Linked DNA regions of Xenopus tropicalis. The protein of the gene in region 1 purifies or fractionates together with the protein of each later gene. This does not show direct contact. Links are inferred from orthologs where the notes say so. Each region holds a gene or a part of one and is shown in the gene's direction. Other genes may lie near its edges.

Region 1 (4,548 bases):
AGACATAGATTATTGATAGATAAATAGATAGATAAAAGATGATAGATAGATAGATAGATAGATAGATAGATAGATAGATAAATTGATAGATAAAAGATTATAGATAGATAGATAGATAGATAAATTGATAGATAAAAGATTATAGATAGATAGATAGATAGATAGATAGATAGATAGATAGATAAAAGATGATAGATAGATAGATAGATAGATAGATAGATAGATAGATAGATAGATAAATTGATAGATAAAAGATTATAGATAGATAGATAGATAGATAGATAGATAGATAGATAGATGATAGATAGATAGATAGATAGATAATAGATAGATGATAGATAGATGATAGATAGATAGTAGCAAGCTATCAAGACTTAAGGAAAAATGAGAAACAGATGAAAATAGACAGACATATGGAACAGGGGGCATTGCTTGCCTGAAACCCCCATGCTCAGTTCACACATCACAAACCGCTCCCCCCCCCCCCCCATCTCTCAGTCCACTCAAGCTCTTGCTGCTCATTCCTACCAATCAATCCACCTCTGATTGTGCCCCACCACCCCAATTGCACCCAAGGCACGTGCCTCTGCTGCCTACCCCTATCTCTGGACCTGCAATAAATGACAGATAATATCAGATAATGCAGGCATATCGGGCAGCTGCCCAGGGCCCACGTCTCGAGAAGAGCCAAGATTGTCTAGATTATCTAGATTGTAAGCTCTACGGGGCAGGGACCTTTGACTCTTAACTTATTGCAACTGTATCTTTTATTTATTGTTATACTTTGTATTTATCTCTTATTATCTTAATAACCCCCTGTTTGTATTAATGTATTCTACTGTACAGCGCTGGGTACATAAGTAGCGCTTTATAAAGATATACATACATACAAGGGACAAAGGTACTTCTGCACTATTCAGCCATGAAGCTTGGGGGGGGGTAGGAAGCCTCAGCTAATAGCAAAGGTGGCCATACATGCTAAGATTTTTCCCTCCCTAACGACCAATTTCACATTTAGCGATTTTTCATCCAACATTGGTCAGAAAATCCATTGGGCAGGTTTGAAAGCAATAAAATTTGTCCATTGTCCAATTGTATGCAGGGAAATTGTCATTTTCAAACCTGCCCAACTAAATCTGGGCAAGCCTTCTTATTGCAGCATGATGAGGACAATGTATGGGATAAATATACTGATATTGCGGTCTTTGAAAGGAATAAAAAGGGCCCCAACATGACATTTTCATCTGCCCCATCAACTAAGATGCATCTCTCCCTTCACACATCACTTCATAGAATGGCCCCTCCGCCATACCATTCACATAACATACCCAGCACAGCAAGAAGCAACTATATATGTTGCCTCTGCTTTATAGTGCTTCGGGTAAAACTTTATTGACTTCACAAAAACATAACAGAGTTCTGTTTTAAACTCGTTTATCCGGTATTTTAGCCGTCGCTACCTTTCCTCCTAACCACTCCCCCTCTGGTGTGCGTAATGGTTTGTCCCGAGTGCATATAAAGGGCTGCAAGTTCCCCGCCTTAGCACAGTGCGCAGCGGAGGTGATATATCGTGGTTACTAGGCGGTACTTGGAGAACATCAGTGATACCGCAACATGGCCACCAACGGTAAGGAATTACTTGACGTTCGCCCTTTGTACTCGGCTGCTAGTTTTGATATTTTTGTTTCGCGCTAGTTGGGGGCTGTGTATGTATAGTCGGGCATAGTGTATAGGCTTTAATATTTGTTATATGTCTTAGGGTGCGAAGCAAAGTAGTACTCAGGATTAAGATACGAGATCTGCTCGTTCTTTGGCGCCATTTTGCCTTATGTGTATTTTTCGTTGTTTCTATGTATCCGGTATCGCGGATATGTTACTATGCGTGCATCTTGTAGGCTTTCCCCGTTGTATCGGTCCCGCCGCTTCTTGGCTCCTCCCACCATTGTGCTGAATGCGCAGCTGGCAGCCATTTTGTAGCCGCACTGCGCTGCTTTCGCCATTTTGTATCCGGGCGGGCTGGGCGTGTGGGGCACTAATGCGTGGCATTCTGTCCGGATAAACCTTCCCAGAAAACGAGTGTTTTGTGTAGTAACGTTATAAGAAAAAAATCTTGCCTCTGGAAACCATTATCCGTGGTTTAGGGGGAGGGAATCAGTATATTGGTCAATTGCCCACAGGGCAGAACATGAATAAGTCTCTGTAGGGCTGGTAAATGGCTGCAACACTGCTGCCTGGGGGATCTTTAAGCAGATTTAACTAGTAAAGTAAATTCTTGGCTGAGACATAGGGTAAGAAGCGGGTAGATATATATATGTGTGTGTGTATGTGTCTACATATATATATATATATGTGTGTGTGTGTGTGTGTATGTGTCTACATATATATATATATATAGTATACAGGGAGGAGCACACCCTATACAAGTCCAAATGCCCTTGGTGCAGGTCAAAAAACAAAAATATAATAGAAAGAGTGCCGCACACATAGGGACTTGATACAAAAGAAAAAGTGGTTTTATTGAAAAAATGCCAACTTTTCGAGCACAATCTGTGCTCTTCCTCAGTTGGTTTGTCCCTGAGGAAGAGCACAGATTGTGCTCGAAACGTTGTAATTTTTTCAATAAAACCACTTTTTCTTTTGTATCAAGTCCCTTATATATTATATCCCTTATATATTATATATATATATATATATATATAATATATATGTGTGTGTGTGTGTGTATATAGATAGATATATAGAACAAAATAAAGCACACCCTTAAAGAATTCAAATGCCCAAGGTGCTGGTGCCTGCACACACAGGGACTTTACAAAAAATCACAAATTTATTAGAACAAAAAAAGTCCAACGTTTCGAGCACCTACTGTGCTCTTCCTCAGGGACAAACCACCTATATATACACATATATATATATATATATATATATATATATAATATATATATATATATATATATACCGCACTCGCAGGACTTGGTGAAAAAATAAGATACCTTTATTGTGAAACCACGTCAATCTAACGTTTCGGCCGGATCCTCAGCCTTTCTCAAAGTATATATATATATAACAGTGGGCCGCACACACAGGGACTTTGCTGAAAAAATAATAAATTTATTTAAGAAAAGAAATCCAACGAAACCTGGGTGCTAGTACCAAAAAAATGCACTGGAACAAGGCCGGCACTCCTAATATTTAAAGAATTGTGAGCAGTGTAAATATTGAAAGGTTATTACTCAACGTTTCGGTCTCACACAAACCTTCATCTTCATCTGGAGAAAGCTTCAACCTTCACTCCAGATGAAGGTTTGTGTGAGGCCGAAACGTTGAGTGATAAACCTTTCTATATCTAAATTTTGCTCACAATTCTTTAAATCCTAAGAGTGCTGCCCTTGTTCCAGTGTGTATATAATATATATTTTACCCCGCCCCCCCACCCAGGCTTCTTGTATAGGAAACTATGGACCTCAGTGACCTTGTTGTAGTTCCAAGGCCATTAAAGGGACAATAGAGACTTGTGCCCTGTAATTCCATGCACTGGTCTTGATTTAAGAAAAGATCCTGTTTTAATTTAGTGTTGGGTGTGGAAGGAAAGTTTTCCTCACAGGGATTCACTATTTTTTTGGACTATGGCCTGATAAGACTATAAACTGGCCATACATGGGTAGACTTAAGCTGGCCATATATGCACCAACAATATCGTACAAAACCTCGTTTCGTACAATATTCGGTTTGTGTGTATGGCGGCTCGACGAGGCACCCGATATTGCAAAAGGCTGCGGATATCTGTCGACTTGTTGATCGGCCAGGTTAAAAGATTTGTCCGATATGGAGGTAGAAACAATAGAAATTCTACCCCCTTCTGCCCTGAACTGATTTTGCTTTTGTACCTTCAACGGTACCCAAGCAAAATCTAAGTTCAGGGCAGAAGGGGGTAGAATTTCTATTGTTTCTACCTCCATATCGGACAATTCAGCCCTGAACGTCTGTGGACGATCTTTGGTGCGACCGATGGCATTGATGTGCCCCTGTCTGGCCTTAATTATCCAAATAAGGGCCAGAATATCACAATGTAGTTTTGTATGATATTTGGCCTGTGTGTGGTAAGTTTTGTACGATTTTCAGGCTGTGTGGGCTCTACATTATCACCACAATCATTTTTGTACCATGGTGTTCGGTTGTTTAGTCGATCGGACAGGATAAAACATTTTGGTTGGATAAGGATAAAATCTGTGCATGTATTGTGTATGTGCCGATATCCTTGGGGGGCCTACAATGGGAGTCACTTTCATACGGTTGGTGTCTGCCAACTATTTCATGCCCAGAACGCCCTCTGATATATTTTTAGGATTTTATCCTATAATTTCAATCTGCATGTTCGTTTTAGATCGTTGCATTTAAACATACGACCGATATCCGAACGTTCGTCTGAAGACTAAAAACTGTACGTGTATGGCCACTTTTAGGGGAGGGAGCTAAACAAATGTTTCTGTTGATGCCAAACCATTGATGTCTTATAAATTACCACTCCCACTCTTTTTTTCTTGCAGG
Region 2 (4,527 bases), on another chromosome or scaffold:
GAGTTCACTACAAGACTTGGGGAGGTTTGCTTAAAATCGGGAGAATGCTATTGGGGGATGGGAGACCAGGGGGAGAACCACCAAGATAACTCCCGATAAAACAAGGGTGATTGACAGCTCTGTGGCTCACAATATACTCTACATACACAATATAAATGTCACAATATAAGGCTGACTAGTAATAAATACAGATGATTACCGGTACTACATGGCAGCTCTAAAGCCAGTGCAATTATCAGATTTTAATAATCAGCCATGCAGCATCAGCTTATATAAAAGGCCAACCTCCTTTTTTGCAATGACAAAAGTAATTAGGGAATATACTGTAACTGAATAACCATGAACATAAGATGTCCAACACATTAGCCCATATAATTACCAGTAAAAGGAGGAACCAAGGTCCTTAAAATAAATACTTTCTCTGGGTACACAGGGTTCCTAATCATAGACTTGCATTACACCACACAGCCAAGTACAGTGAAACATCAATTTTACATCCCCTGATTTTAAGTTTTCCTGCATTTTACACCATCGTTTTTTGGTCCCACTAATAAATAATAAACTTCTGGGAAAATGTAAAATCAGGGATTTTGCGCCATCTATTTCTGGCCCCCTGAAAAACTTAAAATGGGGGTTCTACTGTAGTCTCATTCTTCATACTTTATAGGTGAACACATACAAAGAGAACACATTTACAGCTACAAGGCCACTGAAACGTATCTACACACGTGCAAGTTTCTTTTTTGGAGCCAGAATTAGTTCTAAACTCAGAACATGAAACCTTTCTAAATGACGGGCATTTGATTTTACAACTGTGCCCCCCCTCATCCCCTACAGCAGTGATCCCCAACCAGTGGCTCCTGAGCAACATGTTGCTCACCAGCCCCTTTGATGTTGCTCCCAGTGGCCTCAAAGTTGGTGCCCATTTTTGAATTTCTGACTTGGAGGCAAGTTTTGGAGGAATAAAGACCATTTGTACTTCTAAACAGAGCCTTTAGTAGTCTGCCAGTACACACTGGGCTACTAATTAACCAATCTGAGTCCTTATTGGTCACCTACTAGGCAAGTTTTTGTGCTTGTGTTGCTCCCCAGCTTTTTTTTCATTGAAATGTTGCTCACGGGTAAAAAAGGTTGGGGATCCCTGCCCTACAGTGTAAGTCACATTAAGCTACGGTCTTACAGTAACAAGCCAGACTCCATTATACGTAGAAACAACGTGCCATCTTTTGTCACGTATCTAGCCATCCAAAACACAGAATCCATGTTTAATACACTACGCTTTCATTCAAGTCTCATTTCTTTGTACGGGGAGCGGAAATCCCGTGTTGCCTAGCGCGCAGTTTTAATTCGCTCTCCCCTCCCCAGGTGGTGTTACGTTGCTTCCGGTGGGCGGTGCTAGCTACGATCTCTTCTTTTGTTGAGGCCGTGCAAGTGCGAGCGGATTTTCTTATCGACACCAGCACTGAGCGTATTGCCGACCAGTAACACCGAACCGAGCAACATGGAGACCGAGACCAAATACTTACCCGAACTGATGGCTGAGAAGGACAGCCTGGACCCATCTTTCACGCACGCTATGAGCCTCCTGGGCAAGGGTGAGTCGGGCTCGGGCGGGGTGTATTCATTTAAGGGTTTGGCGTGAGGGGGACAAAGGGAGTAGGCCAGGGGCCTAGGTAGTAGGATTGGAGTAAAAACACCTTTATGCATTCGGGCCTGCTATGCTTGGCCATGTGGCGTGTGTTAGGTTGCAAAGAATAATGGCGGCTTTGAGCTCACTGCATGCTGTGGATCAGTGTCTGGTTTGTCGACCAACCCTCCCCCACGGCCGTGTTTTTGCAGCTGCTGTTCGAAGTTAGACAAATTGGGGGACTGCCTTCCGAATGTTGCTGCTACTGGGTTTCCCATAGGCATATCCCTGTATGATGCTACACACAGTGTAACCCATGGGTGCAATACAGGCCGACTTAGATACTGTTTTGTCATTTCCAAATCCCTTTTAAGACCAGACCCTTTAATTGAAGTCCGCGTTGTCTTATAATCATTGTTTCAGAAATATTTAGGGAATGATATGTTAAACGTGAAGTATCTGATGGAGAAAATGCATTGTCCCCAAATCACACTGTATGGCCTTCAGTCAGACCCCCACAGCCTTTCTGTTTACCCTTTATTAGAATATATATCCCTTACATAGCAAAAGGTGCTGTGTCCTTATTCTTTAGGAAACATGAATAATTTGTTGGAAATTAGTAAACAAAAGGAATTCTGGTAATGAATTCCAGACTCTTAAAAAAAAAAAAAAAAATCCCATTTACATGGGTTTATCCTGTAGGCTACAGCTCACCCACTGGGTTTGAAGCTGAAGCCAGGACAATAGCTGATCAGATTCCCAACTACAGACCGGTTTTGCCCTTCTTGGGGCTCATCAGTGTAGTGCAGGGTTTTCTGATCAGCTTAGGTAGAGTCACCATGTGGTTCTACAAACAAATTAATAGGGTTACCTATTTATTTGTTTGGAAATTAGTAGATATGGGGGCAGCTGCTTGTTTCATATCTTTTGTCTTGTGAGTACATTTATTGTGACCTGCTGTGGTAATCTGTACAATGTATATATGCTGTGTTACCAGTTCTGTGATGTAGCAAGGGAATGAGATCCAAATGGCACTGTTTGCCCATGGTTTCTACATAAAAGCTTCTTTGTTCTGTGAGAGATACTGACGATTTCCTCCCTCTGTTGGCAGCTGTTCTTTGTCTAGAGGAGGTCAGGGTATAAACCCCATTGTATGTGCAAGAGAGAATTTATTTCTGCTACATGTTAACATGTTTAACATTTCTTAAACATTTCCAACAGTCCTTGTAACTGAAAAGTTTTAACATTGATTACAATTGTATTGTATGAAAGGATCTATATATATGTTTGGCTAAAGCATTGGACTGTGTGGGGGTTACAATATGTGTAAAAACTGGTTTGCTTTGCAATACCTGTTTGGAAGTGAAGTATGGCGATTGGTCAGTAGTTTCATTTATTTGTATGGTTAGTATTTGTCATGTATTTTTGAAGCTAGGGGTGCTTTGATTTTATGATGGACCACAAAGGCTTGAACCAAGACTTTTTTTAAGGCAAAGATTTCATTTGCTTATTTTTTCCTAGTTATAAGCTGCATTAATATAATGCATTTACTCCTTAGTTGTGCGGTTGTCTTTTGCATGATTGAAAAAAAAAAATGATCGACTATTCCTATGTAGTGTTTCAATTTTACAAATGTAGCCTCGATACCAATACAGACTTAGAAGTAAACTTGAAGTCTATATAATACCAATCAGATTTCTTTTTTTTTATCCTCACACGACTCCTTGGTCTTTACAAATCTTGTGTTTTAAAATGAAGGGCTGTAGCTATTTTTTCCCCTGCAGATTACCCTATATTTCTGTTCTTTCTATTGTGCATTGGGTATTCCCGTTCAGATTTGGGGGGTGGTAGATCAGAAGGATAAGAATGAAATGCATTAGTAGTGTTTGTCAGTGACAGTGAAGCTTTCTTGCAATTTTAGGGTAGCCCTGGTGAACTCTTGTCCATCCTTTAGTAAGGCTGATGTCAATATGCCCCACTTGTGCAGTCACTTAAAGTAATGCTATCCTCCTGTTACTGTGTGCATTTGTTGGGCTTTGGCAAGAAAGTGCAAAAGATTTATTTTCTGGCAAAATGTTGCCCCATAAGCATGGTGATGGGAGGATTCCATCCTTCTGCGCAGAATGGATGGAATTGGTCTTTTTTTTTTTTTAAGCTGGGTGGAAATTGCCTGGTACAGGTATAGGACCCATTATCCAGAATGCTCGGGACCAAGGGTATTCCGGATAAGGAGTCTTTCCGTAATTTGGATCTCCATACCTTAAGTCTACTAAAAAATCAAAACATTAATTAACCCCAATAGGATTGTTTTGCATCCAATAAGGATTAATTATATCTTAGTTGGGATCAATTACATGGTACTGTTTTATTACTACAGAGAAAAAGGAAATCAGTTTAAAAATTCTGAATTATTTGATTAAAATGGAGTCTATGAGAGACGGACTTTCCGTAATTCAGAGCTTTCTGGATAACGGGTTTCCGGATAAGGGGTCCTATACCCGTATTAAATGAAGTTTTTTTTCTATAGATTTTGTGATTGTCCACAGAATAAATATACTTGGCAGTAGGTTTCTACACAAAATGTTGTTCACTCTATGCACTTTTGTTTTATGCTGTGATGCCTTTTAGTAGGGGATACCCCAAAAAAGAGGTTGAAATTCTTGCCACTGCTCAGTTGTGCTAAAATGTTTAAAAGATAATAAAAACATCCAAATTAATTTATACAGAAATTGAAAGGCTGAAGAAGGGAGGTGATGCCAAGAAAGATGAAGAAGATACTTATCTGGACTTATTTTCCCATAAAAACATGAAGTTAAAAGAGCGCATTTTGATACCAGTCAAGCTGTATCCCAAGGTAAGATTCTTTAGGAAACAATTGTAAAGCTTACATGAGAAGGTTG
Region 3 (3,917 bases), on another chromosome or scaffold:
TGGTAGCAGCTACTTTTTCACGTCTACTAAACGCCAGAAAATCCCCTGCCATAGACAATACTGAGAATTGCCTCTGCTAAAACACATGTAGAGACAATTATCAGTACCTGATCAGCATTGTCTATTTTAGTAGCTGCTACTAGTAGCTCTGTGTGTCTTCACCCTAAAGTAAGCAGTATGGCAGTTCCTGCATATAAAGCTTAGTACATACTTAGCACAGACTAGAGTTAGTATGCCTCAGGGTCACAGTGTGAGCAGTGGTGGGACCCCCCTAGACTAGGGGCTAGGCCCTTTAATGCTCAGTGTTACTCTGTATAGAGCCGAAGGCTGACAGTCCTATCTTGCTAGAGCAGGGGCGTATTAATAGGAAGGGCTGAATGCTTTTATTTTCCTGGCTTGGAAGCCCAACGCACGTTGCTCTTTGTCTGCCGCGGCGTCGATAAAATAACATCAATAATTAATGCGCTCTGCCTTTGAAGCCGCGCTTGTTATTTCCCCCCATGTGCTTTTTCATCTGCCGTCGGAGAAAAGGAGCAGCTTGTTCCAGATACGCCCGGATCTCTCCATAAGGAAACAGGCTGTTCCATCTCTTCTCCTGCCCTAATTTAGTACATTTAGTGTGCCGTAACTGGGCTGAGCAGCAGGACCGGCCGTGTAATTAACAGTCATTTCACTCTGTCTGTGAGCAGCTAATTTTATTAAAGGGGAACTGTTGCCAGAATAAAAACATACGCCCTACTGTGGGGTTAAATCCTTAAAATACATACATGACTTAAACTATTTATAGGAGAAGGAAAGGCTAGTAAAGAGTTAATCCCAAGCTGCAGGCATACCTTCACTTCTCTCAATAGTGCCCTTAAGTCTCCCCGTATTTCTCCCGACCAGATGATCAGAAGCCAAACAGGAAGAAAAAACGCTGAGCTCTGTAAAGAAATTCCCATAATACCTCACTCCTGTACCAAGACCGGTGTACATGCTCAGTTAGTAAGACTATGAGGAAGCTTCTGATTGGCTCAGATCCACCTTTCTAAGGGGGGGGGGAGGGAGCAGGAGAGGGGAGAGCTGTGTGTCTCTGGCAGAGGAAAACAGACACAACAAATCTTTTGACAGATTTTATCTGCCTTTTATCCATTGCCTATTGTATGTATAGTAACCTTCCTGCATTAAACATAAAATATGTACTTCCCTTACAGGTTTGCAGTGATTGGATCTTCTCCCTGCAGTGATGTCCACCCCAGACCCTCCAATGGGGGGCACTCCCCGGCCTGTACCTTCCCCCGGGCCAGGGCCTTCTCCTGGAGCTATGCTAGGCCCCAGCCCAGGCCCCTCCCCTGGCTCTGCACACAGCATGATGGGACCAAGCCCCGGGCCACCTATTCCTCCACAGGGACCTGCTGGGTACCCACCTGAAAATATGCACCAGATGCACAAGGTGACTAATGCCACAACGCCTTCCTTTCCTATACAATGTTACCATTTTTGAACTTCTGTAACTGTTCTGTAACCTTTTCTGACAGCCAATGGATTCCATTCATGACAAAGCAATCCCTGAAGACCCCCGATACAATCAGATGAAGGGTATGAGCATGAGACCTGCTGCTCACTCTGGGATGGGGCCTCCACCCAGTCCTATGGACCAGCACTCTCAAGGTATGTGCAGCCGGGTACCACAAAGACCCAAACACAAAGATTTGGATCTAGCACTGGAACCCATCACCAAGTAATCAGATCCATCTCCCCATTCCTGAATAGCCTGTAATCGCAATGTCTTTCCTCTCCTGCAGGATACCCATCACCTCTGGGCAACTCTGAGCACGTGCCCAGCCCTGTACCATCTAATGGTCCTCCCTCTGGCCCTCCGATGCCTTCTGGGCCATCAGCGGTGAATATGGAGAACTCGGACCCACAACAGCAGACAAGCCGAAGTCCTACTCCCTTCAACCAGAACCAGCTGCACCAGTTGCGGGCTCAGATAATGGCTTACAAAATGTTAGCCAGGGGGCAAGCTTTACCCGACCACCTTCAGATGGCAGTGCAGGGAAAGAGACCCATGCCTGGGATGCAACAACAGATGCCAACACTACCTCCACCTGCTGCTTCGGGGACTGGCGCTGGTCCTGCCCCAGGCCCAGTGCCCCCTAACTACAACAGACCTCATGGTAAGGCCCTGGAGGGATGAAGGTAAGCTGCTTAATGTATATTAATGCTTTTATTACAAGTTTTAACATTTTTGTTTTACTAGGAATGGCTGGTCCTACTATGCCACCTCCCGGCCCTTCAGGAGCTCCACCTGGAATGCCTGGCCACCCTGCTGGTGCTCCACCTAAGCCTTGGCCTGAAGGTACATCTTGTAATTGGCTGAATCAGTTGGGGAATGTTTGCGCTAGGCCGTACAGATGTCTTAACCTTGTATCCCACTCACAGGTCCCATGGCTAATGCAGCTGCCCCTGCCACTGCCCCCCAGAAGCTGATTCCTCCACAGCCTACTGGCCGCCCTTCCCCTGCCCCTCCGGCTGTCCCACCGGCTGCTTCCCCCGTGATGCCTCCGCAGACACAGTCTCCAGGCCAGCCGGCTCAGCCTCCTCCCATAGTACAGTTTCACCCTAAGCCCAACCGCATCACTCCCATACAGAAACCGCGAGGCCTGGATCCTGTGGAGGTGCTACAGGAACGGGAGTACAGGTGAGATCTCTGATGTGACCATGTAGTGCATTTGGGTTTGCTTAACTCTCTTAATATCCATCGTAATAATATATTGGCAAAAGTAAAAACTGTAAGATATTACTCTAGATACACAGAAGGGGGTTGTGTAAGATATTACTCTAGCTTATATGGCGTATGGGATCCTAATATAACTGCGTGACATGGTTTGCCTTTGCAGGCTGCAGGCGAGAATTGCACACAGGATCCAGGAACTGGAAAATCTTCCTGGTTCTTTGCCTGGAGATCTAAGGACCAAAGCCACCATAGAGCTGAAAGCTTTAAGGCTTCTCAATTTTCAGAGACAAGTAAGTTCTTCCCTTCTGTTGTAGCAGGACGGGCGGAGCATATTCCCCTTTCATCTAGTGTTTTTAGCCATTATTAACATTTATTTATAAAGCGCCAACATATTCTGCAGCGCTGTACAATAAGTGGGTTAGCTATAGCGTTAAACATGATATTAAAGGGGTAGTTTATCCTTTAGGTTAACTTTTAGTATGTAATGGAATGGCTTATTCCTAGCAAGTTTTCAATTGGTCTTTTTAATTATTTGCCTTTATCTTTTCCTACTCTTTCCAGCTTTCAAACAGGGGTCACTGACCCCAGCAGCCGAAAAACTATATTGCTGTGTGAGGCTACAGTTTTATCATTATTACTTATACTCTATTCATATTTCTGTCTCTTTCAAACCACTACCTGGTTGCTAAATTAAATTGGAACCTAGCAATCAGTTAGCTACTGAACTTCCACATTGAAGAGCTGCTGAACAAAGCAGCTAAATAAAACAAAAACCACAAATATAAAGACCAACTGCAAATTGTCTCCGAATAGCATTCTCAACATCATACTAAGTTTATTTTAAGGTGACCAACCCCTTTAAGTGGTAGTTTAACTATAACATTGTGCAGATACATGCTGAGACAACTGCTCTTCACAGTTTCAGCAGTTCCATTCTTTTCCTAGGGTCCAGTTTACCCTAGAGAGAGAAGAGTAATAAAAACTAGCAAAAAAATTGTAGCCCTACTAACTGCCAAGGATAGTAACCACCACTCCCTCCCCCTTTTGGAAGCTGGAAAGGGCAGAAATTATAAAAAGTGACGAATAGGATAATCCATAACATACTGAAAGTTAAAGTTGAACTACCTCTTTAATGTAAGTCTTCTTTATAAGTAAGAGCTGACTTTGTAAATTGGTTTCCTATTGTGCAGCTGCGGCA
Region 4 (4,407 bases), on another chromosome or scaffold:
GCCTTTACTATTTGCAACAGGAGATTACATACCTCCCAACTGTCCCGATTTTCGCAGGACAGTCCCACTTTTGACAGCTCAACCCGCAGTCCTGGATTCTTACTGAAAAGTTCCTCATTTCCCTTTGATCTCCTGCACTGAATCTAAAAAAAGATACAAATTTAATTAAAAGTAGCTTTTAGCAAAGAGCCCAGACAGTTAAACAAGCTTCAGCTGCACTTAGAATCATTGTTTCTCATTTTTAATTAAAAAGTAGCTTTTGGCATAGAGCCCAGAAATCTTAACCAGCATCACCTGCACTTAGAAACATTGTTTCTCACAGTAAATTAAATAAGTAGCTTTTGGCAGAGAGCCCAGAAAGGTAAAAATCCCCACCTGCACTGAGATACAATTGTAACTAATAAGTTAAACTGGTCTCTTGGGGGAACTGAGACTTGCAGCTTAAAGGGCAATTTCACCTTTTTCAGCAAAACTGTAATAACACATAAAACAAGACCCCAAAACCCCCAGAAATGTGTTCAAACTTTAAATAACCTGTCAAATTTAGTCAAATAGGAGTGTGTGGTTGCAAAATGGGCATGGTCAAAAAAATTCACTGCGCTGTGCGCAGCATTTATTTTTGTCCCTCTTTCCGTTTTCAAAATGTTGGGAGGTATGAGATTAGCCTCTTTCTCTAACTTACATTAGGGGGCTATGACATACCCCCCCTGGGTCTTCCCCAGCCCCTCCCAATAATATATCTACTTGTTCCACTCCATGCAGAACCCTAGCCCCACGCAAGCAACCTGATTAATTGGAAGTTAGAAAAATCCCACCTACAACACGGCCTCCTAATAGGCTTTTACATCTACCGCAGGCGCAGTGAGCTTTCTGTGACATCACACTCATTTTGAACATGTGCGATGACATCATATCAGCAATGCACTCTAGGATCCCCCAGAAGACAGTTTCCCAAGGTTAAAAGCTCTGCCCTATCCACCTTCCTAATGATTAAATCCACTATAACCTGCCTTTCCTTCCTCTCACTACTCCCCTGCCTGTATTAGAGGTGCTTCCCCCCAGGCTGAAGGGGGCATCAGCTCTAAACACAGGAGGAGTTCATTATGTATGTAGGTCATTATTATGCAAAAGCTTAATCCATGGACTGCTTAACTCTTTTCTTCTCATCCCACAATCCTAAGGAACCAGCCAGGAAGCTGCAAAATAAAAGCACTTCCTATTTCACATTCAGCCACATTTTGTAAAAAAACAGGCAGATTTATTTGAAAGCACAAGCGCTACTTAGTGAAGTAGACTTGAATGACACGCCTCTCAGTGACTGAGTTCTGGAACCCGGAAATAACGTGCCCATTCTATTTACTACGCAGCTGCAGGGCTGGAACCCGCCCACCGGCCCTGTACATTTCAAAAGCGAGGGGGTTAACCTACATAGCCCATCCCCTATGACGTGACGACACATTTCTTGCCAGCCAATGAAAGCGACCCTGTGATTGCTTTGACGTCACGTCCCGTGTCCTCCATTTCTTCATTGTTCCAGAACCCGGGCTTGTGTGAGTGTCGGTGTTAGTAGGGGTTCAGGGCAGCAAGAGGCCGAGCAGCGTTCTACCCTCTCAGCAACAAACGTGTTCCGTGTGCAGCGCGCTTAAGGTGAGGACATATTTCCTAGGTAAGGCCGCTGTAAGGAAGCAGAAGGCCGGTGCTCATTTCACGTAACATGGCGGCGGCTTCTTTGTTTGATTCGCGCCTTTGTGCAGTTTGTGCGCAGCTCTGCAAGCGCTTCTATACTCTCAGGTTTTTCTTCTGTGGGGAAAGGTGTGAGCGTAGCAGAACCTACCATACTACTAACGCCGGCCTTTGGCTACAGGCTGCGCACTTACCGCTCTGTGTGTGTATTGGGAATATTGGAAAGGCCCATCTCATTCGTTTGGCTTTGAAAGACTAAGACGTGTCCGTAAAGCATTTACTTCTGGTGGCAATGCCACCATTACTAGAAACAGCCGGGTCTTTGTGGCTAAACGCACACTGTGCGGGAGGCTAATGGCTGTGTAGCTCCATTAAACACAACAGGCAATGTTGGGCCTTGCTTAGAGACGTGAGAGATTGAAAAATAGCTTTTATATGTGTAGAATAGAGTTCAAAGTAATCCTTTCCATTGTCTTCTAAAAGTAATGTGATAGGACCATTTACACGGTATGTGGTTTTTTTTGGTACAATACACCTATAGGTTTGTGGCTTTCTCTGCTATGACTGGCCCACACTTTGCCTCCCTGACTGGAGCTGCTTGAACTCTTATTGGCTGAGATGTCTGCAGGTTTTTGTTGAGAATTGTTCTGTAGAAGGTGCCAGTCCCCCTGTTGGGAATTTAACGGCTTTTTGACGTGAGCTTAGTTGTTTGGGCCTATGTAAAGTTTGCAAGCACTATCTGAATTCTTTAAATAGATAAATAGATAATGCAATAAAATGGTGGCCATGTCTGAGCTCTCAGGGCCCATTTTCCTACCCCCTTCCCTTGGGCTCACACTTTCATTCAACCCCCCCCTCACCTTGTTCCATTGTGAAGGGATAGATTCTGCTACTTGAAGTCCCTTTGTTTTTTGAAAGAATCTGTGCGCCACACAATGCGGAGAAACTTCAAGTCCTAGATTAATCATCACTTCACAGTGGAACAAGGATTGAGCTGTAAACATACGTGCTCTCTCATGTTTGTTTTTGGCAGGGTAGAAAGTGTTCTCTTTTTTTTTAAATGTTAAAAAGGGGTATATTACATTACATTAACATTTATTTATAAAGCGCCAACATATTCCGCAGCGCTGTACAATAAGTGGGTTACATACATTAGACATACAGAGTAACATATAAAGCAATCAATAACCGATACAAGAGGTGAAGAGGGTATATTTTCCTTTTATAGTTTGCAGTCAGATTATAGAATTTCAATTTGAGGACCCCACTTGGGTTACACTTGCAAGCCTTGGCTATATAGGATAACAAAACATAAAATAAATACGGGGTGCTAATTTCTACGGCATCAAACTCCTATTGAATGTAATCCATTACCACCTACTCCAGTCCAGGTTTAAAAAAAAAAAAAAATCTCTGCAAAACGTAACATCATTTTTTTGTTGTATGTTACAATGGTTTTGGTTATGTTGCTCAGATATTTAATATTGGGGAACATTTTTGTTTTTCAGAAATGGATCGAGAATACGGCTCATATAACCAAAGAAGTATGGACTCGTATGGAAACCAGTCTTATTCAGTGGATGAAATGGGTGACAGGTAACCTGCTGTTTTAATTATAGTTCTTGTTTGTTTCTTTCCCAGCTAAAGGTGCTGCTACAGTATAGGCGCTTGTCTATGTAAACAAAGGAGTACTACTATGGGAAAAATGTTTTCAAAACACATCTGTTTCTCCAGAAAATCCTGCATTGAAATCTATTTTTTTTTTTTTAATAATTTGTTTTCAGATTTCTTATGGGAATAGCCATATTCTTTATTTCCAGGGTACCACAGCCATGTGACTTGTGCTCTGATAAACTTCAGTAACACTTTACTGCTGCGCTGCAAGTTGGAATAACATCACCCCCCTCCTTCCCCACCCCCCACAGCAGCAGAATAACGGGGAAGTAGAAAGATAGCAGCTACCTGACACCCATGCTGCTGTAAGTGGTTGATATCAGAATGGCACTCAATAGTAAAAAATCCAAGTCTGGCTTAGGACTTCAGTTACAAAGGAGTAGGAGAAACAATAGGTTACCTGAAAGCAGTTCTAATATGTAGCGATGGCTCCTTCTGAAAGCTCAGACTCAGGCACAATGCACTGATGGTGCCTACACACCAATATTACAACTAAAGAATAAATTTGTTGGTTCAAAATAAAATTTTAATGGTAGAGTGAATTATTTGATATGTAAACAGTGTAATTTAGAAATAAAACGTATACCATAAAAATCATGACAGTATCCCATTAAGTTCTTCAAGAGCATCTTCTGTCTGGGTGCTGGAAAAAAAAAAATTCTGACTTTATGAAGTGTAGCAGAAGCCAATCATAAAATCCCCAATCTAAGTAATTACTGCCATTTTAACACTTTATTTTTTTTTTTTTTTTTGGAGGGGGTGGTTGGGTTTTGAACCTTAACTATTTATTGAGGAAAGCATGATTTAATTTGGAGTGAACCTTGTAGTAGAACTGATTTCTTGTGGAATGCCTCACACCAGGGATTTTGCCATTTCACAGAATATGTGCAAATGCATTTGCAGACAGATGGCAATTCTAAATGTACAGGCAAGCTATGCACTCAGCCACTTTAAAAGACTGATGTGTATACACTTCACAGTGAATATATAATGGAAGCTTGCATGTTAAGGCTAACCTGTTATGCAGCATCTCCCCCAGGGATTCATTTG
Region 5 (3,917 bases), on another chromosome or scaffold:
CTGCCTGGTTGCTAGCAAACATGAGAACCTAGCAACCAGATAGCTGTTGAAACATCAAGTTTGGTGGCTTGCTGAACAAAAACCTACATAACCGAAAACCCATAAATATAAAATGAAGACCAATTGTAAACAGTGTCAGAAGATCACTGTCTGCAACATACTAAAAGTTAATTTATAGGTGAACAACCCCTTTAACATTTTAGCTGTTTGACTTTGCCTGTTAGGTTGCACTAATATGTGCACATTTTGTTTATAGCTTGTAAATGCTTTAGTTAAATGCATCATGTTTGCTGTTCCATTGCTTGTGAGGAATTGATCCTGACTGGGCAAAGTTGTACACAGAAGCCAATCATCTTGGTGACACTGCTCATGTTCAGTGTGCTTTGGCCTGTTGTTGAGAAGGTGGGCTTAGGGATCAGCAAAAAATCATTGATGGTCTCTCACTGTTCTTACTTTTGCAGATTTTTTTGACAGATTAAACCTCAGTAGAAACTGGTCTAATTATTTGGCCAGAAGATAAGAACATAAAGAAATTTGCTTAGAGCTGTTCCCGTGCCTCTCTGAATGTGGTTTTTATTTGTATAGATGCATGGATATTTGGCACATTACTGTACAGAATCGGCCCTGGTATGGCTGCCTTTAATCTGTACAGCTGACTATGTGTAATTTAAGGCTGTAAGGGTGCGTATTGGCTAAGCAGGTGGTGCGCATAATGAGTGAACCTGGCTGTCCACACTGGGAGCTCCCACTCTGTGTAGGCGACCTAGTGCCAGCGAGGGCTATTGTTTCCACCCAACCACAGTGTGGGCTTTATTAGCCCTCACCTCTGGTGGGAGAAGACATTTCATTGTCATAGGTGTCCATTAAGTGGCCACAGAACTTATTTTGCTCTTGGTTGGCATCGGCAGGTCTGCTACAGCATGGTCTTCAAGTTTATTTGTAGCACTGTAAATATAAAGCATTACGAGGAAGTGCTGACATATGCGTGGGCTTATCTGTTAGTATAGTGCTATAAGCAGGAGTTTTTTAAATTTGACTGTATTTAGGGCAGCTTTATTAAAGGTCTGCTTCTCGTTAGGGCCCTTTTACACAGGGTGGTTTATTGTACTACCGAAAATCCCGTTTGCGAAAATGCATAAGGAGGTATTTTGAAAGAGATTAATTTTCTATGTGTCCGGGACCTTAAATACTTTGTCTTTGGTTTCTGCTTAATAAAATACTCATTACAAATTGGTATTGTCTATTTTTTATGCACCTTTTAATAATTGCATTTCAGAACCAATTGCTGACTATATAAAACAGTCACTTGTTAGATATTATGCATTATCAAAAAGTTATATTGATAGATAAATAAAAATTACTTTTTGCCAGTGAGAGATGTTTAGTAGCCCACATGTACTGTCTGTAGACACAATATATGTGCTGCAGCTTAGTATGTCACTTGGCCAGCAGAATGTTAGTACAGGTGTGGGACCTATTATCCAGAATGCTCGGGACCTGGGGTTTTCTGGATAAGGGATCTTTCCGTAATTTGGATCTCCATAACTTAAGTCTGCTAAAAAAATCATTTAAATATTGAATAAACCCAGTAGGAAATCAATTTCAAAAATTAAAATTATTTGCTTATAATGGAGTCTATGGGAGATGGCCTTTCCGTAATTCTGAACTTTCTGGATAATGGGTTTCCAAATAACAGATCCTATACCTGTAGTGACAAATATGTCTGTGCTTACCAGGACAGCCCAGGTAAACGTAACCCCTCATACTTTGTGATAATGGTTGGGGAGGATTTTGTGAAGCAAAACCGGGTATGAAGAGTTTAATATTGCTTCTGAAGCTTTTAAGACATGCAGGATACTAGGCTGTTTGCAGAGGGCATAATGGTGATGTGGGTGGTTGACAACATTTTAAAATAATTTTAGTAAATTGAGTATAGAGCTTTTTGAGCTGTGAGAAATTCTAAACTGTACATTGTAGTCTTATGAGGTTAGATACATGCTCGGTAGTGTCGGTGTTCATTTGTACATGAGAATGGGCTTGTGTACCTGCAAACAGACAGCATTACATTAACTGTGCCAACAATACAGTGCAAGGTATATGAGCTGTGCGTGTAATAAACTTCAGAGCCGAGTCAATAAAAATTGCTGTTATTTAAATGATAAAAAGGAACCCTATGGCCATGGAATCCTTATAAAGGTCATCTGTCAAGATTCCTACTAGGCACCTGGACTGGTAGTGTACTAGTGTCATAGATACTCTTCTCTTAATGACTCGATCACCAATGTAATATTCTGGATGTACACTACTGAATGACATAGTACCCTGCAACTGTATTCTGCTCTATTATACCCAATCTTCCAGAGCCATATATTGGCCCGTAACTACAATGCTGCAGGTATGGTCTGCAAAGTTGAATAGCAGTCAGCGGCTCTATATTGTTGTAAAGTCTCAATGGCAAGGTGGCCAGTAACTATTTGTCCAGATAAAAAATCCATTGCAAAGTGCAGAGCACAGCTTTGGCAAATGCAGGCCAGTCCTGTCTTTACCAACTGCCATAAATTAGATGGAAAGGAAAGGGCCCCAGTTGAGAACAAATATCTGGTTGCTGGTCACTAGATGTGGGCAAACTTAAGACTTTTTATATATATATACATTTTTGATTATAGATAATCTTACCTGTGATAATAACACAAATTGTTTTTCAATCCCTAGAAAAGACAGAGATCGAGAGAGAGATGACCGATCTAAGGACCGGGACCGTGACAGAGATAGGGATCGGGAAAGGGACAGAGACAAGGATAAAGACTCACGTGGGTCATCCAATTCTACGTATATTACAGCTAGTGGAATGCCACCTCTAAAACCTGCAGCGGTTGCTCAAGGCATTAATCCCTTTACCAACTTACCCCACACTCCGCGCTACTATGACATCTTAAAAAAGAGGCTACTGTTGCCAGTATGGGAATACAAAGAACGGTTTACTGAAATTCTTATGAAGAACCAGAGCTTTGTATTGGTTGGTGAGACTGGATCTGGGAAAACTACTCAGGTATTTTATTTTGCCTGCATTTAGCTTTTCTGGCAAGGATTATTTTTGTGTTATACAAATATAACAATAAAGCAAACTGTATATTTATTTCAAAGAATAATTATCATAGAATGAAGGTGGTCCCTGCTGCATAGACCTTACAGTCGGTGGTTAATATAAGGGCACACATAGTATAGTAATCAGTACTGTTCTTCACATTGGGTAGGGCATTAACCCATTATTAGTCAGATTTTCATATATTTTGTTAGTGCTCTAAATGTAGTTTGCAGTAGTCTAGGTGGCATAGGATAAGGGGATTGTTTTAAGGAATAAGAGCAAGGTTTTAGTTTAGGCCAAAGACTTGAGTGCTTGTCAAATAGCAGAAGGTAGTGAAGAGGTTAACCCAAGAAGTTTTTTGCGTGGTCAGTCAACACTTGGTATAAAAGTAGGGTACAAATAATATAACTATTGATTTAACATCTACTGTATTAATATAGAAATAGCATATAACCATCATTCCTCTGCCCCCCAAGCATCAAAATCCTGACTGGCACAGGGATTGTTTTAGGGTTGGCAGAAAGAAAGAGCATTAGACCTGGATCCCATCATCAAAACATAGAGGAAAATGTTAATTGTTTTAGTTTTAGTGAATACTGTGATGCTCTCCTATATTATCCTATCAGGGTCGGATTGGGGGTCTCCGGAGCCCACCCCTCTGCATGCCTTGTTGCTTTTGCACCCGTTGTGGGGCAGGAGTGCCAGGGTGTGCGACTGAGTCAGTGGGGCCCTCAAGGTGCTCATGGTTCCCAGCTGGCCCACTCTGACACTGTATCCCAGCATCTCACCTATAGATGGGACCACAGCTTTCCTGCATTGCCAGACACCTCCC
Region 6 (4,594 bases), about 40 Mb from region 1:
AAAGTAGTCTTTTACTCTTTGTTTACTGTGGTCCTGATTCAAAGTGTGCAGGTTTCTGTCAGTTCTGCACACAAAGTGCCAGGACCCCAAAAGGGATATAGCCTAAAGGGAACATTCCTCATCAGCCCTTGAGAATCACACTGGTCAAACAGGAACTTTTTACTGGGGATAAAAATGCCCAAATTATTCTTACATTAGGGCACCCTAAGGAAAAGAACTGATCAAGATCAGAGAAATTATAAAAATACACACTGCTTTTACAATATTGTAGTATCTTGGGTGGGGCATACTTCAGTCATCATTGAAGACTTGGAAGAGGAAAACCCTGCAGTAGAGAAAACCACTGGGGAACAATAATTTGAAGGACTGACTGTGATATGGGGACAAACTAGCAGTAGAAAGTCTATTTTGGGGATGTAGAGTTTGAGAGTTGGCCCTGGGTGAAGTTGCTAATTAAGGTCCCAACAGCAACTTTATAGTCCCTCAAACAAATGCTGGCATAGGTGATGTAGCTTTAGGGCTCCCCTGTGTCAGTGAGCACCACTGTGCGAACTACAGAAGATGGGAGCAACAGAATGGTGCTGAGCACAACTATACTTTAGTGCAAGGAGCGCATCATGGCCTTTACTAAATTGGATTTTGCGCATAACCGACTACAGCCAATTTAGCAGAATCTGATCAGCAAGGCAATCATGATGACCTTTAATAAATGGGATTTTTTACATAACTGACTGGAGCCAACTTATTGCAAGCTGTACACTTGCACAACAGCAACTTTATCCCTCAAACAAATGCTGAAATTCTTTTGGCATAACTTTGCTGCTTTGATTTAAACAGGCCAGTGTGGTAACCCTGGCACTATCAGCTGGTTTGGAGGTGGTGTAGCTTCAGAGCTCCCCTGAATCAATGGGCGTCACTGTGCAAAATACAGAAAAGGAGACAGGAGTAACAAAAAGTAGAAAATCTATTTTGGGCATGTAGAGATGGAGAGTTGGCCCTGGGTGAAGTATCTAATTAATGACCCAACAGCAGCTTTATAGTCCTTCAAATGCTGGCGTAGGTGATGTAGATCTAGGTCTCCCCTGCATCAGTGGGTACCACTGTGCGAACTACAGAAGACGAAAGCAACAAAACAGTGTTGAGCGCAACTATACTTTAGTGCAAAGAGCGCATCATGGCCTTTACTAAATTGGACTACGGCCAATTCAGCAGAATCTCAACCGTACACGGGGCTGCTTCGGACTGTATATATTTCCGTTTCATGTCCTTTTAATTGTGGTGGGGCTAACCTATATGAACCCACCGCTTTGCGCAAAAATTACCTGGTAAGTGTAAGTAAGAGGTGAGATCAAGTAAGAGCCTCACTAACTGTAAAATGCTGCGACGTATTGCTGAAAATATAATGCATTTTAATTTTACTATTTATAACGTCGCTCACGGTACCGAATAACGGTACAAAACCTACGGATCACAAAACGTACTCCCACCATGCAGGATCTTACTCCCGGAAACCTAAAGCATAAAAACATTCTGTGACGCTTCTGGGCGGCCACCAATAGAGACCGCCCATTATTCTACGTATTAACAGAGCATGCGCCTAGTTACCTACGGAGGAGCTTTGGTGGCGTGTTGCCTCTTTTTTACGGTTTTACAAAATGGCGAAAATTGCGAAAACACACGAAGGTAAGAATAGAATACTAATGTTTCGGTGAAAGGGATAATTTGTAATTTCGGTTAGTAAGTCAGCCTTGTATACATGAAATGATGAATCTATAAACTTTCGGGAAACGTGAGAAGGCCTTACTGGCTATTAATTCTGTGCACACGCGAATAGTCAATGGAGTTGGATTAAAACAAACAGGATTTCGGTTACTCTGTCCTTTTAAGATTGTAATATATTTATGAATTCCGGTGACCTGTTGTTTTATTGTGGACCCGACGGAGGGTCAGAGAACGTCTTTTAATGTACTAACCTTTGTTTGTTTTTGGAGGCGAAACGTTTCTATTGGTTGTGTAGAAGGCAAGGAAGAGCAGTGGAATGCGAGGACATTCAACGTGTTTAGTTGCCCAAGTGATTTCAGATGTCAGTGGGCTGATGATAAAATACTTCAAATAGTCCGTTTGATCATTTTGTTTGTTGACCTGGAGTTAACCATACAGTTTGAATTGCCTTATGTGCCTATTTACTAAGGCTGAATTGCCTTGAAGGAGAAAGAATGGCTAAATCATTGGGGATGCTAAATCTTAGGTACCCCCCCAGTAATTGTAATTGCTTAACTTGTACCCCTGGAAAGGGCCCCCCATCCCCTTTAGCCTTTCCTTCTCCTTTGAGAATGTAAATCGCTGGCTGGATGGCATATGCAGCGCCGCAATTTGCCGAAGTTTCCTCTCAAGGCAACTTTAGCAAATTGCAGCGCCATGTATGCCACCCCACTGGCAATTTACATTCTAGCTGGTGGGATGGCATTGTGGGGAGATTTGTCGCCGCTCTTAGTAAACTGTTTTTTTCAGGGTGGCAGGAAACACAACACTGATCTGGCCAACATTGATAACTAAGGTATTTACCTGCTCTCCTAGGTCAGGGAAAATAGCAAGTAATGATAGCCTGACCTGTGTGGTGCATGAGGGATAAAAAGCTGCTGATCATTGGCAGTTTATTGGCCCGTGTATGGGGCCCTCAGACAGGACTGCCCTAACAATATCTGGGCAAGATTTCAATCAGAGAGGTTAAAAAAAAAAAAAAAAAACCCAGTCAGGGGGAGGAGTGCAATGGTTGTTGATGCAATCCCCGACTGTTTGCATCCCATAAATGTGATCTGAACGTTTGGGCCTAGAGCCAAATGATCAGATCAATCCGATATCCCCTACCTGTGTAGGTAAATTTTCGAACTTTCCTCTACTACGAATCAATGTAAAAAGGCTGTACAATGGTGGTGCCTGTTTGTCGCCACTGTTGTTAACACATTTGTTTTAGTATACAAGTAAAGACCTTGGTTTTCATACTGTAGGTTCTGTTTGTGAGTGAAATATCTGAAACAACAAGCCTAGAGAGTATAGGATCCATTGCCTGGAAAACCATTATCCAAAAAGACCATCACCCATAGAATTAATTTTAAAAAAATTCAAATTTTTAAAAGTCTACTTTTCTCTTAAATTATAAAGTAGCCCCTCATCTTCTATTCTCTTGATTCCCTGCACATACTTTGTGCTGCTGTCAGATACTGAGCTTGGGGACCGACGCACAATATACTGTATATATACAATATAAATGTAACGGTATAAGGCTGATTAGTGATTCATTTGGATTCAGTTAACATGGCAGCTGTGAAAACAGTGCAATTAGCAGCAGAATTTAATAACCAGACCTATAGCATTAGTTTATATGACAGGCCAGCCTTTTTTCTGCTTCATAATTTGCAACAACCCCTCAGCTTAGCTTCTCAACAGCCGCCCTAGCATGTGCACTGTCCTGGACAGTTCTAACAGAATCCAAGATGAGAAGCTCCTGTGACAACTGTAAAGACCTATATCATTGCTACTATAGAGATGCTGAAACTTTTGACTAGTGCAGTCAGTTTACTACTATTTTTAGGGTTTAGTTCTCCTTTAATACTTATTAGAGGCACAAAAATCCTGTGTTTTTTTTTTAGTAGACTTTAGGTATGGAGATCCAAATTAAGACACCATATCAAGAAAACCACAGTGTCTTCAAAATTGGGGTTATGTATAATCTACATGCTTAGATTGTGAGATGTTCAGGGCAGGGACCTCCTTCCTACTGTGTCTCATACCACATGGCACTTACTCCCTGTGTATTTATACTTGTATAAATAACACTTGTCCTCCCTGTGTGTAATATTTTATATTGTAAGATTGTACAGCGCTGCATACCCTTAAAAAAAAAAAAAAAAAACAACTTAAACTTAGTCTTCTCCCATCCAAAGTTAATATAAATTTGTCCTATACTAAATTTCCTAGAATTTCTTTTTTTGAGACTCTATCCTAATTTACATATCAATTATTAGCATTGAGCTGTTTGCAAGCTTGTTGTGAGTTTTTTTTTTTTTAAATTGTTACCTTTTCTTTATCTCTGGTTTCTAGTTGCTAACAAACTAATGTACCATTAAATATTTTAATATATTTTTCCAATCAGATATTGAAGCACAGATACGTGAAATTCAAGGAAAGAAGGTAGCCCTCGATGAGACACAAGGAGTTGGTCTTGATTCTACTGGATATTATGATCAAGAAATTTATGGTGGAAGTGATAGCAGATTTACTGGATATGTCACATCTATAGCAGCAAATGAGCAAGATGATGTAAGTTTGAATAATTTTGTTTGTTTAAAGAAATGTCAGTAATGTTGTTGTTGCCCTATCCTATACTATATATCTCATATTTTTCCCATACAGACTTGAAAAGGGAGGAAAGGCACAGGTTACATAAGCAGATAACAAATAAGCAAATACAATGGGAATCTTATCCAACTAATTTATCTATTTACGGCAGACGGGGAGATTAGTCGCCCGCGATATGCCACCCCACCGGCTTGAATGTGAATTGTCGGTGGGATGGCATACGTGGCGCCGCAAT
Region 7 (4,469 bases), on another chromosome or scaffold:
CTCCTCTCATTCCTGCGTCAGTGTCGAATGAAACATGACTGAATAAGCACTTACTATTCATATAAATCCCCCCCCCCCCTCTTTATATTCCGACGGATTGGGGGGGGCTGCGCTCAAATGCAGAAATTGGGGGTTTCAGTATATACACATTGCCCGGCCGGGATACTAACTGCACCCTTGGCTCCTGTAGCTTCGTATTCATTCCTAAATAACGGCAGGATGGGGCCCAGCAGTGTAGCATCTGCCCCCGGGGCAGTTCTGCAGGTTGCAGTGAATATGAATAAAACCTGGGGGTAGGTACTAACAGGGCGGAAGCTGCCGTTGCTCCCCTGCTGGGACATTGTGTCTCTCAGTAGCACCAAAAGGTGTGTGCGGATCACAATAGCACAGGGCGGAGTCCTGTTGGGGCAGATTTCAATGTAAATACCCCTGAAGGAACCTCATGGGGGGGATGCAGCAGTAACATATCTATGTTAAAGGGCTAGTTCCCCTTTAAATGAACTTTTTTTTTGTGGTTTTTCAGTTATTTAGGTTTTTGTCCTGGAGCTCTTACTATGCACCTATGCGGTTGCCAGGGTCTTATTTACCTTAGCAACCAGGCAGTTGTTTGAATGAGAGACTGGAATATAAATAGGAGAGGGACTGAATGGAAAGATAAGTGATAAAAAATAACAATAATATTGTAGCCTTACAGAGCAGTAGTTGTTTTTTGGTTGCCGGGGTCAGTGACCCCCATTAGAAAGCTGGAAAAAGGCAGAAGAGACTTGTAAGATGTTTGTTGCTATTACAGTGTTTGTCTGCTGCCCTGCTGGTTCTGACTTCTGAAGCAATGTAGCAGAAGCCAACAGATTCACAGAGCTGGAGAAGGAATTGACTGCTGCCACACACTGTATTACAGGAGTCAGAATGGGAAAGGCTGTGGGGTAACTACAGGAACAGCCCCCCCCCCCCATTACTTGTATCTCCCCAATAAACCCTCACAGACTTGCACATTTTTCATAAACAAACTATTTTGTGAGAGTTTTTCCACCATTGTTAGCGCCATTTCTTTACAGGGCGATACAAATGCAATACTGGAAGTAAAAATACCAGCAGCCATTTTGTCCAGGCGTTGTGTTGGTTGATTATAAATAAAGTTTAGCGGGAAAAAGTGGAATCTGCCGCCATTATGGAAGTAGCGTCCTGTGTGGGCGGGCTTACTCCGCCTTCGGCGATTGGTGAGTGTCCCCGTCCGTCACAGCGATGCGTTTGCCGAGCGGGTTTGGATAGGTTGTCAGACGCCGAGAGGGAGGGAGTTGACTGTTCGTGATGCTGATTGGCTGTGGAACCGGTCGTTATAGCCAATAGGAAAGCAGATTGTTGGTCTAGTGTGGCTGTATCGAGGGCCGAGAGGTTGTCCATTGTGCGGGAGTGTGAGGAACGAAGATCTGAAACATGAGGTGCGGGGGGTTCGGGGGCCGAGTGGGGAGCTGCCATGGGGATTGGGGGGACCGGGAGCGGTGCCGGGTTTCCTTCTCGCCTTCCGGGGCCTATTGTGGGGCACATTGTGTGCTGGGCTCCGGGGGGCCTGGTCCTACTGAGAATAGGATAGGGGGGCTCCGGGGGGTACTGTACCTAATATATAGGGGGGCCCTGGGGGTACTGTACCTAATATATAGGGGGGCCCTGGGGGTACTGTACCTAATATATAGGGGGGCCCTGGGGGTACTGTACCTAATATATAGGGGGGCCCTGGGGGACTGTACCTAATATATAGGGGGGCCCTGGGGGTACTGTACCTAATATATAGGGGGGGGGCCCTGGGGGGAACTGTACCTAATATATAGGGAGGGATAGGGGGGCCCTGGGGGGAATGTACCTAATATATAGGGAAGGGATAGGGGGCCCTGGGGGGAATGTACCTAATATATAGGGAAGGGGATAGGGGGGCCCTGGGGGGACTGTACCTAATATATAGGGAAGGGATAGGGGGGCCCTGGGGGACTGTACCTAATATATAGGGAAGGGATAGGGGGGCCCTGGGGGGACTGTACCTAATATATAGGGAAGGGATAGGGGGGCCCTGGGGGGACTGTACCTAATATATAGGGAAGGGATAGGGGGGCCCTGGGGGGACTGTACCTAATATATAGGGAAGGGATAGGGGGGCCCTGGGGGACTGTACCTAATATATAGGGAAGGGATAGGGGGGCCCCTGGGGGGGACTGTACCTAATATATAGGGAAGGGATAGGGGGGCCCTGGGGGGACTGTACCTAATATATAGGGAAGGGATAGGGGGGCCCTGGGGGGACTGTACCTAATATATAGGGAAGGGATAGGGGGGCCCTGGGGGGACTGTACCTAATATATAGGGAAGGGATAGGGGGGCCCCTGGGGGGACTGTACCTAATATATAGGGAAGGGATAGGGGGGCCCTGGGGGGACTGTACCTAATATATAGGGAAGGGATAGGGGGGCCCTGGGGGGACTGTACCTAATATATAGGAAGGGAAGGGGGCCCTGGGGGAACTGTACCTAATATATAGGGAAGGGATAGGGGGGCCCTGGGGGACTGTACCTAATATATAGGGAAGGGATAGGGGGGCCCTGGGGGGACTGTACCTAATATATAGGGAAGGGATAGGGGGGCCCTGGGGGGACTGTACCTAATATATAGGGAGGGATAGGGGGGCCCCTGGGGGGACCTGTACCTAATATATAGGGAAGGGATAGGGGGGCCCTGGGGGGACTGTACCTAATATATAGGGAAGGGATAGGGGGGCCCTGGGGGGACTGTACCTAATATATAGGGAAGGGATAGGGGGGCCCTGGGGGGACTGTACCTAATATATAGGGAAGGGATAGGGGGGCCCTGGGGGGACTGTACCTAATATATAGGGAAGGGATAGGGGGGCCCTGGGGGTACTGTACCTAATATATAGGGAAGGGATAGGGGGGCCCTGGGTACATGATCGGATAACAAATATTGGGCGCTGGATGTTTGAATAATGATATAGTGATAATAAATGAGTAGAACACAGAGGGTCATACAGTAATAAATACAAAGTAGTTATATTAGAGATTAAGAGCTAAGTGTCCTGTGACGCTTACAATCTAAGGTGCCCCCCCCCCCCCCAGAAATGTACGTATTCTAAATTGTTCTACTTTTCTTAGGGGTGAACGAGGACGTGGACGTGGCCGCTTTGGCTCCAGAGTGGGACCTAACACAGGGTGAGCTGCCTATTGTAACTACATACTCCCGTCAGTCGCTCCTGGGTGGAAATGTGATGTAGAGGGTAATGTTCCGAGACAGCTTGCAGTTGGTCTTCATTTTGTATTCATAGTTTTTTAATTATTTACATTTTTGTTCAGCAGCTATCTGGTTGCTAGGTGGGTGCTAAATCACCTTAGCACCCATGTAGTGGCTTGATTAAGAGACTGATCTATGAATAGGGGAGGGGCTGAATAGAAAGATAAGGAATAAAAAGTAACAATAACCATAAAACTGGAGCCTCACAGAGAAGTTTTCTGGCTGCCGGGGTCAGTGACCCCCATTTTGAAAGCTGAAGAGAATAAGAGGAAGGCAAATGATGAAAAAATAATAAATAAATAATGAAGACCAATTGAAAAGTTGCATTGAATTGGCCATTGTATAACATACTAACAGTTGCGTGTAAAGGTGCAGCCCCCCTGACTCTGTGCCATAGGGTAGCCATATTCCTTATTCAGTAGCCACATTGTGCAGTGCAGGTACATGTTCTCTAATGTAAATATGACCCTTTTATTCTTTCTCTTACAGTTTCAGACCCTTCGTCCCTCACATTCCCTTTGATTTCCACGTGGTAAGTGGCTTTTCCTTCCCCCCACATTCTGTACATGTATATATATATCTATATAGATAGATATATCTTCTCTATCCTTGTGCTTACATACTGACTTACCCTTCTTTTCAGTGTGAAATGGCCTTCCCGCGTGTGAAACCCGCCCCCGACGATAGCTCATTCAGCGAGTCACTGCTCAAACGAAACCAAGATCTGGCCCCCAGCACAGCCGAGCAGGTAGCTATATGCTTCCCTTGCCCCCCACCCCCGGCACTGTTGCCTCTGCCCATATTCATTATACCCTTTGTGCTCTCCCCCCACCAGGCCTCAATCCTTTCTTTGGTCACCAAAATCAACAACGTTATCGACAATTTGATCGTAGCCCCGGGAAACTTTGAAGTGGTAAGTTGCTACGTCTTTAATACGAATAATGTACCCCCTACTGTAAATGATAAGGATATTAGCAGTCACTGAGGGGTTCTGTGCCCCCCATATAAAGGCACAAGGCTGCAGGCTGAGTTATACAGGGAACTCTGAGTATCACTCATGTATTATAAGGGATAATGTACCCCCTACTGTAAATGATAAGGATATTAGCAGTCACTGAGGGGTTCTGTGCCCCCCATATAAAGGCACAAGGCTGCAGGCTGAGTTATACAGGGAACTC

What was found.
Region 2: the proteins of fus (region 1) and khdrbs1 purify together in Homo sapiens (affinity purification with mass spectrometry; 3 studies listed by BioGRID and IntAct, with this or other methods). This does not show direct contact. The link is inferred for Xenopus tropicalis from reciprocal best matches to the Homo sapiens genes FUS and KHDRBS1.
Region 3: the proteins of fus (region 1) and smarca4 purify together in Homo sapiens (affinity purification with mass spectrometry; 3 studies listed by BioGRID, with this or other methods). This does not show direct contact. The link is inferred for Xenopus tropicalis from reciprocal best matches to the Homo sapiens genes FUS and SMARCA4.
Region 4: the proteins of fus (region 1) and znf326 purify together in Homo sapiens (affinity purification with mass spectrometry; 3 studies listed by BioGRID and IntAct, with this or other methods). This does not show direct contact. The link is inferred for Xenopus tropicalis from reciprocal best matches to the Homo sapiens genes FUS and ZNF326.
Region 5: the proteins of fus (region 1) and dhx15 purify together in Homo sapiens (affinity purification with mass spectrometry; 4 studies listed by BioGRID and IntAct, with this or other methods). This does not show direct contact. The link is inferred for Xenopus tropicalis from reciprocal best matches to the Homo sapiens genes FUS and DHX15.
Region 6: the proteins of fus (region 1) and sf3b1 purify together in Homo sapiens (affinity purification with mass spectrometry; 3 studies listed by BioGRID and IntAct, with this or other methods). This does not show direct contact. The link is inferred for Xenopus tropicalis from reciprocal best matches to the Homo sapiens genes FUS and SF3B1.
Region 7: the proteins of fus (region 1) and ilf2 purify together in Homo sapiens (affinity purification with mass spectrometry; 3 studies listed by BioGRID and IntAct, with this or other methods). This does not show direct contact. The link is inferred for Xenopus tropicalis from reciprocal best matches to the Homo sapiens genes FUS and ILF2.

The regions. Positions count from the first base shown.
Region 1 is NC_030685.2:6,034,120-6,038,667, reverse strand, and holds the start of fus (RNA-binding protein FUS), read left to right. Parts: upstream 1-1,571; 5' UTR 1,572-1,614; coding exon 1,615-1,627; intron 1,628-4,548. UniProt on the Homo sapiens protein: DNA/RNA-binding protein that plays a role in various cellular processes such as transcription regulation, RNA splicing, RNA transport, DNA repair and damage response. Binds to ssRNA containing the consensus sequence 5'-AGGUAA-3'.
Region 2 is NC_030678.2:86,520,900-86,525,426, forward strand, and holds the start of khdrbs1 (KH domain-containing, RNA-binding, signal transduction-associated protein 1), read left to right. Parts: upstream 1-1,497; 5' UTR 1,498-1,501; coding exon 1,502-1,595; intron 1,596-4,353; coding exon 4,354-4,481; intron 4,482-4,527. UniProt on the Homo sapiens protein: Recruited and tyrosine phosphorylated by several receptor systems, for example the T-cell, leptin and insulin receptors. Once phosphorylated, functions as an adapter protein in signal transduction cascades by binding to SH2 and SH3 domain-containing proteins.
Region 3 is NC_030679.2:138,916,945-138,920,861, forward strand, and holds part of smarca4 (transcription activator BRG1), read left to right. Parts: intron 1-1,193; 5' UTR 1,194-1,225; coding exon 1,226-1,432; intron 1,433-1,517; coding exon 1,518-1,650; intron 1,651-1,784; coding exon 1,785-2,159; intron 2,160-2,242; coding exon 2,243-2,341; intron 2,342-2,424; coding exon 2,425-2,683; intron 2,684-2,882; coding exon 2,883-3,009; intron 3,010-3,909; coding exon 3,910-3,917. UniProt on the Homo sapiens protein: ATPase involved in transcriptional activation and repression of select genes by chromatin remodeling (alteration of DNA-nucleosome topology).
Region 4 is NC_030680.2:105,534,055-105,538,461, reverse strand, and holds the start of znf326 (DBIRD complex subunit ZNF326), read left to right. Parts: upstream 1-1,432; 5' UTR 1,433-1,647; exon of another isoform or gene 1,648-1,666; intron 1,667-3,191; 5' UTR 3,192-3,193; coding exon 3,194-3,279; intron 3,280-4,407. UniProt on the Homo sapiens protein: Core component of the DBIRD complex, a multiprotein complex that acts at the interface between core mRNP particles and RNA polymerase II (RNAPII) and integrates transcript elongation with the regulation of alternative splicing: the DBIRD complex affects local transcript elongation rates and alternative splicing of a large set of exons embedded in (A + T)-rich DNA regions.
Region 5 is NC_030677.2:31,429,750-31,433,666, reverse strand, and holds part of dhx15 (pre-mRNA-splicing factor ATP-dependent RNA helicase DHX15), read left to right. Parts: intron 1-2,712; coding exon 2,713-3,049; intron 3,050-3,917.
Region 6 is NC_030685.2:45,929,891-45,934,484, reverse strand, and holds the start of sf3b1 (splicing factor 3B subunit 1), read left to right. Parts: upstream 1-1,563; 5' UTR 1,564-1,655; coding exon 1,656-1,683; intron 1,684-4,153; coding exon 4,154-4,320; intron 4,321-4,594. UniProt on the Homo sapiens protein: Component of the 17S U2 SnRNP complex of the spliceosome, a large ribonucleoprotein complex that removes introns from transcribed pre-mRNAs.
Region 7 is NC_030684.2:144,160,422-144,164,890, forward strand, and holds the start of ilf2 (interleukin enhancer-binding factor 2 homolog), read left to right. Parts: upstream 1-1,379; 5' UTR 1,380-1,434; coding exon 1,435-1,439; intron 1,440-3,155; coding exon 3,156-3,212; intron 3,213-3,780; coding exon 3,781-3,823; intron 3,824-3,934; coding exon 3,935-4,039; intron 4,040-4,126; coding exon 4,127-4,204; intron 4,205-4,469. UniProt on the Homo sapiens protein: Chromatin-interacting protein that forms a stable heterodimer with interleukin enhancer-binding factor 3/ILF3 and plays a role in several biological processes including transcription, innate immunity or cell growth.